2 linked regions of the Drosophila melanogaster genome follow. The protein of the gene in region 2 interacts with the protein of the main gene of each other region in a pairwise test. Each region holds a gene or a part of one and is shown on either strand. Other genes may lie near its edges.

What was found.
Region 1: the proteins of lobo (region 2) and CNPYb interact in a two-hybrid assay, tested with the Drosophila melanogaster proteins (one large-scale study listed by BioGRID).

The regions. Positions count from the first base shown.
Region 1 is NT_037436.4:19,094,397-19,098,320, forward strand, and holds CNPYb (canopy b), read right to left. Parts: upstream 1,822-3,924; 5' UTR 1,747-1,821; coding exon 1,081-1,746; 3' UTR 494-1,080; downstream 1-493. Other genes in the region: MESR6 (misexpression suppressor of ras 6), read left to right, coding at 1-168; Naxd (NAD(P)HX dehydratase), read right to left, coding at 2,256-2,831, 2,910-3,236; CG14079 (uncharacterized protein), read left to right, coding at 3,767-3,814, 3,873-3,924.
Region 2 is NT_033777.3:25,191,978-25,195,901, forward strand, and holds the start of lobo (lost boys), read right to left. Parts: upstream 1,800-3,924; 5' UTR 1,678-1,799; coding exon 1,261-1,677; intron 1,190-1,260; coding exon 1,061-1,189; intron 830-1,060; exon of another isoform or gene 308-829; coding exon of another isoform or gene 1-307. Other genes in the region: CG13653 (uncharacterized protein), read left to right, coding at 3,583-3,742, 3,811-3,924. UniProt on the Drosophila melanogaster protein: Key component of the nexin-dynein regulatory complex (N-DRC), essential for N-DRC integrity. Involved in the regulation of flagellar motility. Involved in sperm motility. Required for the sperm to enter in the coiled storage seminal receptacle (SR) tubule.

The sequences.
Region 1 (3,924 bases), on a different chromosome or scaffold from region 2:
GCCATTACAATGGCCCATTCCGCTCAAGATGACTACTGCCCCCAGGATCAGGTGGCATTCATTGAGGAATGCGTTCTACGCCTGCTTAAGGAGGTTTTTGGCGAAAGACTGCACGACAAAGCCATCCTGCACTATATGGACGATCCTTGGGATGTGATGAAGCTCTAAGCTTATGGATAACTAGGGGTTCTTTCGCCCGCCACTGCGAATTAGATTCTGAATTTACAAAACTCGTTTGGGCGGGAAAACTCCACGACTAAAAGATACCCGTAGTGATTTCGAATTAGAACCTAATGATGGAAAATCCAATACTAATTATAATAATATTTTTTACTTTGAAATATACGCGAAGTATTTATTACAGACAATTAAACAAACTCATTTAATGCAAATTGGGTATATTCAAAATAATTTGTTTTTAAACTTTGAAAGGTTTCGCGACGAGATACCTTTTAAACGACATATTAGGTGCCCCAGTAAAATCAAAATGTGTATGCACAGATAATCTATATTTAATCGTAAATACTAAATGTTAGTTATAAAATGTACATGTATTTAAGGATAACTCTCTTCCATTCAGTGCCGTAGGTTCCTAGAAAATGCGCAAAATCTCATTTATTGACATGGACATGGCATGAACACCTGAATTTCTGGCTGGGGGTTATGACTGGCCACCTCATTGAGGGCAGTCAACTTTTAATTGTCGACCCCAATTCGTGGCCGAAATCAATAAGCCAATGGCCCCAGGCGAAACTTTCAGTAGCATTCTGTGGCTCAGTCGTTGTGGAAGTTATACAGATTAGCTTGAGAGACATAGTGAGTTCACTTAAGCTAATTAAACACTTTTCGCTTTGTTCTATAGGTGGTAAAACTTAAAATGATTTCCATTTCGAAAAAAAGTAAGATCATTGGAATTTAAGTAACTACTACATTTAGTTTGTCAATGCTTGAGTTCATTCAAAAACTAAAATTTGTGTTACTTTTAAAAATTGCATCGACAACAGCTGCACTACATCTACATTTTTCGACATGGAATTACAATATGGTAGGGATTCCTAGGATATACTTGGATTATTTGGCTCACAGCTCCTCCTTGTCGCCCTTGGCTTTTTCCCTTTTGGCCTTTTTAGCCTCCGGAGGAGCAAGCTGCTCCTTGAGGCATTCCCTTTCGGCCTTTTTCTTGAGCACATGGTCCTCGCAGAGATGCTTCTTCAGTGACTTCTCATCCTGGTGCTTAAAGTACCATTCGCTGATGGTTTCCTCGTACTCCTCCAGTAGGTTTTCGCACTGGGTCTTCATTTGGGTGACCTCCACCGGGGGCTTGTCCCACAGCTCGTAGGGTATTCCCAGATCCACCTTGACGCCCTTGTCCACAAGGCCATGGAGCGTCTGGAAGGTCTGGGACATACCTTTGGCGAATCTCGTGCTGTCAGAGCGTTCCTTGTGCAGATTGTACTCCAACACTCGCTCGCACACGTTCTCCAGGGACTCGAGCAGTCGCAGTTCGCTGCGCCGGTATTCAGTGCGCTTCTTGGGCTTCACATCGTCAACGGAGTATCCGATTTCGATGACGTCGTGCGACTTGCCGGTCTCTCCAAGTCGAGCTTCCAATTCGGTGGCCAGGATTTTGCAGGCTTCGCAGCGGTTTGCGTAGCGAACGCCTTGCTCCTCCTCGGGCGAATCAGCTCCGGCTAACTGCAGGACGACCCAGAGTGTTACAAAGCCAGGCAGTCTTTTGAGGAGCATTTTCACTGCTTGATAAATTCCAAAAAAACAATAATAAACCTGACGTGGAAATGCCGCTCGCGAGAAGACCAGTGCTGCAAAACACCAACAACCGAACGGAACCGACGACTTAGCTTTTTCCCGCCAATACCTTTAAAATAATCTATATCAAATCTATTTTCTTTTTTATGATTTATTATCCTACATACATTTAAAAAAAACTTTTATTTTATTTTATTTGTTTATTAAAACAGAAGTCATGCTTAAACGGTTTATTAAAATTGAATCAATATGGTTTTATTATGAATGCCGAAACATTTTATCTGTAACAAGATGCAGCTTTCAAATTAACGAACCAGATGTTCTTACGTTGTTTAAATGCAATTAAAAAATTCCCATAACATTTCTATCCATTCCAATATGTTCTCTGTTAAAGACATTAAAAATCCCACGATAATTGAAAATTCGGTTAATGGTCGCCTTGTTTTAAAAAACAAACAGCTGGAATTAGTTCAAAGTCCAGTAAATGACTATTGAGGATCGCTGTTTTCGAACTCGGTCTGAAATACGCTGGGTATTTGATTGACCATGTCACTGGCCAGTAGGCTGCGGCCAAACTTTTGAAATGCAGCCGCGTTTAACTTTTTCACAAAGTAACTAGAGGCACATGCAGCTACCAGGGCGGGATTGGGTTCACCCGACTGCAGTGACCACGAGAAGAAGGTGGCCAAAGATCCGGAGAGCAGGTCACCTTGTCCACCGCACCTGCGACCGGAACCGCCGCTAGGCATTGAGTGAACTTCGTTGCAGTGAGGGAGATAGATCTTGTCGTTGGCGCCCTTCTCCAGGACAGTTACTCCGGCTCCCAGGAGGGACATTTTCTGGCGCGCCGCCTGGTCATCCTCGCCAAACAGTCTCTGGAACTCCATGACATTTGGCGTGAGTATGACATTCGGCTGTCCACAGATCAGATTCAGATTGTCGTTGAGCAGAAACAGTCCATCGGCGTCTATGACAACTGGTTTCTTGGTGTCCATGCACAGCTTGAGTACGTTGGATGCCGTCTTCAGGATGCCCGGCTCCCGACCCAGTCCAGGTCCAATAACCTTAACGATTCTAAATTTAGCATTTAATTGTATAAATGTAGCATATACGTATGTAGGTGGGGGGGGGGGGCTACTCACAACGACGTGAAGTCGCTCTAACCAGGGCGCTATTCTCTCCACTGCATCCACACAGTCTAGCACTGGATGCACGATAAGATCGGGACTGTAGGACTTGATAATGGCCGACGCATTTGAATGGCAGAACACATGCGCCAGGTCAGCGCCCACTCTTATCGAGGAAATGGCCGCGAAGTACGGCGCTCCGGTGTACTCCAGGGACCCACCGATCACTCCAATGCGTCCGTACTGTCCCTTGTGCTTGTTGTTCACCAGCTTGGGCACCACCGTCTTGAACAGAGCCAGCAGCTTGGGCAGGTGCACTGGAATATCCGAAACTGCAGCCATCTCTACCGGCGGCAATGGTTTTCTTTGTGGACTGTGCCCGCTGTTTACTATTGCTGTGACTAGTGATGCACATTGTGGTCGGGATTTCCTATCGGTTGCTGCTATCACTGTGAGAAATACTTTGTTCCCACGGAAGCCGTATTATCAGTAGTTAAAGCTATAGAAAATGAAAACATGGAAAAATGTGAGTTAGCTAATTATTCTAAAATAGATTTTTTTTAGTATTTTACTATCATATTTTTGTATTATTTCTTAATTAATTCAAAAACTATTCAATTCTTTAAGTACTCTTCACATTGTATAGTTACACTATACATTCTATACACATCACTTTCAACTCTTTTGCTTATCAATCAAAATTCCCTGCGTTATCGACCAGTAATCGACTTTGAAATTCACTTTCAACCGCTGCCCCGGCAACCAGTGGGCTCCAAAACAAAGAACCATGCGCTTTCGCCCCCCAATTCTCGATTCCCGCCCCAAGCAGTTGGCTATTTTCCGGCAGACTTTCACTTAGGATCAGGCAGCAAATGTCCCACAAGAGATTCTACGTAAAGTTAGATCTGCAGCTCCATGCGGTTTGTGGCTATGTCGATTGAAGTGTACCTGTGACATCAAGGCTCCTTCCATTTTCAGCTCACTTGTCCCGGTGTTTGGCTTTGTTCACACGGATATTTGGAGGCCACCA
Region 2 (3,924 bases):
AAAGCCAAAGTTGGCGCCCACGGAGCCAGCCACGGATACAGAGATAGAGGATAGCCCAGACGGTGCTCTGCACGATGCAGAGCCAGGACCCGGTGTCCTGGCTACAGATGCAAATGCAGATACCGCCGAGGGCTCGACGAGGTGCCATGTCTATGCGCCGGCCGTCTACCGATCGTCGGCCACCCTACTCAGCTCCCTGTTCTTCCCTCCCTACGAATTTGTACATTGTGACCTCGACGATGACCCCGACGACTGCCAGATCACGGGCGAGTACCAGCAGTACGACGAACTGAGCTCCAGCAGTTAGACCACATGGTTCCACGCATCCGGAGGACTCCACTGAATTTATCTCCTAGCTGTGAAACCTATCGAGCATACTTTCAGTATCTTTCAATTCAATTCGAATCCACTCCATTGCATTGCATTGCATTGTATTAATTAATTAATCGTACGGTTAACGTGTATATATCGAGAAACTCTATTTGTAGCTATTATGCATTTCTTTTTGAACGGAAAGACAACCGACTCTGTTTTGTTAGTTTGTTTTTTCACCCAATGATGCATTCTAGAAAAATGTTATAGCCCTTAGTTTTTGTTACGAAAAAGAAAAAATACTTTTCGAACTGCAAGGTGTGTTGGCGCGAATGGCATGCATTTGATATCAAACGTTTTTAAATTTCGTATATTAATAACTATGGAAATGTGCTCAAAAGAATTTTCTTAATTCGGAATTAATGCGATATTTAAATAAAAACATTTACAAATTTAAATGTAATTTTAAATACATGTTCAATAAAAAATAATTAGATAATTTTTATGAAACTCTTAGAACTGTCGTCGTATTTACTTACCGCTGTCGTATTGGAGGGTCTAAGTGGTTTTTCATATATATCTACTAAAATACCTAAATGTTTTACTTTTATATTTACAAGTATAAATTGCCTTGGTCAAGTTATTGAACATTTTAGAACGCATAAACTTTTAAATATATTGCTACATGAGCTCGGAACATAAGAATAATGGATATGTGATTGGTTCAACTTTGCCATAATAGACTTACCAAATTTATGGGATCCTGCAGTGGCTCATACTGAATGAAATCGGCGACAAACTTGGCAATTTCCTCGACACTTGATATGAGTTGCGTGTAAATAAACGCCGTTGGCCTGATGGTGGTGCAAACGAATTTCTGTAAGTTGGTTAAGAGTGGCAATTTATCAAAACGCTGGCCACTAAAGGAGCAGATGGTGCTGACTTCACCTGTACTTTGCATTCGTTGGGCAGGGCCAAGACCATGGCTCGTCTCTTTGGGTAGCTGAGAACCAATTGCTTCCGGAAATTCTCAGCGTACAGCAGGAGCAACCGCTCCTTGGGCGAGAGGGTATAGTACGATGGAGGATAGCACTGGGGACTGTTTTCGAACTCCTCGACTGTTTCGGGAAAGGATAAATCGATCTTTCCGATATTGAGCGATGGTTCTCCTTCGGATAAACTAAATTCACTAGATCCCATTTCCTCCATTTCCGCCTCGAACTCGCCCTCCATTTCATCTGCAAAATCCGATTCCGAACCTTGCGAGCGCCTCTGCTCGTCGATTTCCTTGAACTTGGCGCTATAGCGACTCGGGTCGATGTTGCTCACCACCTTCTTGTACTTCTGAAACAGTACTTTCGGCATTTTGGCGTGGTTACAATTGCCGGCTCTTTAAAATAATAAACAAGAAACTTCGTTTCTATAACTACGGTGTTTGTAGAAAAATATATATTTTAACGGCTAGATGTGACAGAAATTGAAATATGTATTGTGTTGTGCTAGTCTGTTCATTGTAGCAAATAAAATATATAAAAATTGTAATTTGCTTAAAAAACTTTCGTAATTCTAATTAGTTTTGTGTGGGTTTCGCTTGAAATAACTTCTTATAAGAACGAACATTTCCTTCTTCCGGTTGAAAACTTTACTTTACATTACTTTACTTCCTGATTCTGGTTTGCGTCTGGGCTAAATAACCGTTGTACTGGTTTGTAACTGCTTTGGCATTAGATTTGAACTTCTTTACCCTGCTTCGTATATCAATTTCTACTGCTTTTTTCTCGGTTAAGTGTCTACATGTAAAATTGAAGTAGGGTAACAATTTTACCCAAAAGTCTTTTTGTAACGAACATTTTTAAAATAGAGCAAGCAGGTTGTGAATAGCATATGGCCATCACCTTTTAGCAAAAGAATAGTAGTAAGCTTCATGTCATGAAGAGAATAACTTTAAAATTGACATTAGTATTTTTAAAATAGTAGGTAAGCCCTTGAACGATTGATTACCTACTGCTTTTTAGCCTTGAATATTAAGGCATAGCTATATTTTAAGAAAATAAAAAACTATTTAATTTCCATTCATTTCGCTAGTCATTTTCAATTAGCTATTTTTTCAATAGCTATTTTCTATAAAATTTGATGGAATGTATCAAAGTTATATTTGTATTATAGCACAGAAGGCACAAAACTTCCCTACTTATAAATATTTGGTAAATTGTATGACAAGTCACATATTTTAAATGTGAAAAATTGATATAATATATAGAACTACTTCTTCACCTTGTGCATTTTTTGTTGATTTAATTTAAATAAAGCTAATTCCACATTCAACCTAATCTTTTCCCTGGTTACCTACATACATACATATGTATATTTCGACTAACTTTATTTATTGTCATTATGCATATTACATAATTACCCGTCGAAAACTCAATGCTGGTCTTCCGCAGCTGCAGTGGCAGCGACAGTGGCAATGGCTTACTTAGATGGCACATTTTTTAGGGACCACCCCCTTGTCTGCATGCACCACAAATTGCATTTGCATTATTTATATTGCATCAATAAAACCCGCATTCAGGAATAATTAGCGAGCGCAGAACTTGTCGATGAGCAGGAGCGGAGACCAGCGGATTGAGATCGGCGCAGTTGATCCGTTTATGGCTGGCGCTAGGATTTATTTGTACTTCCTTTCGCATTTGAAAGGCGAGCGTCTACCTGGTGAGCCTGGTGAGAGCGGTACATTCATGAAACCATTTGGCGCTTTTAAGCGACTCAATTACGCACTTTGATTCCCACATTGGCCGCTAGTAGTCGCCTGTCGTTGGGTGTCGCCTTGCTCTGCCTCGTCCAGCTTGGTCCTGTGGCAAGGACTGAGGACTGGACGCGGTCTACCTGGCCGCCGTCTGAGGCAAGATGCGTAAGCACTAATTTTTGTGTGCGCTCAGTTTGCCGTTTAATTGCCGCGGCTCGCGCTAAGTGTTCCCTAGAAAAACAAAGGCAGGCGCTGCGCGTCGGAGGTTCAATCAAGCACATGTCGTCCTGGGCTGACTCCTTGGCCAAAAGTGGTCCTTGCGCAGGCGCCCCGGATGTCTCGAGTGTCAAGCGCCTTTGCAGCCATTGTCTGATTATCGCAGCCACGCAACGCTGATGTGCGGTTATGTCAATTAACGCGGATGCGGATCAGTCCGAAAGGATCGAGGTATATAAGGGTAGCTACGCAGGAGCACAGGACATCACATTCGCCACAACCACCGAACGAAGCACATCGATCTGAAGATGCAGTTGGGAAAAGCTATCATTCTGATTTTGCTGGCGGCCATCCAGCAAAGCTGCCTGGCTCTCTACATCAAGAGCGCGGAGAAGAATCCAGCCAAGACTGGGCCCAAGGACGATTGGGGCGTCTTCAAGAACACACTCGGACTAAGCCAAGAAAAAGGTGGGTTGCGACTTAGATTAAAGCTCATTTTGAACTCTTCACTAACTTTGTCATTATTTCCTCTTCAGTTGAACTGCTAAAATCGCAAAAGGACCAACAAGGCACTAAGGAGCTGCTCAATCGATTCATTCTGGAGAACCCAAAGGCACTGCCGAAGGCCAAGCCACAACCCGATCAGTTCA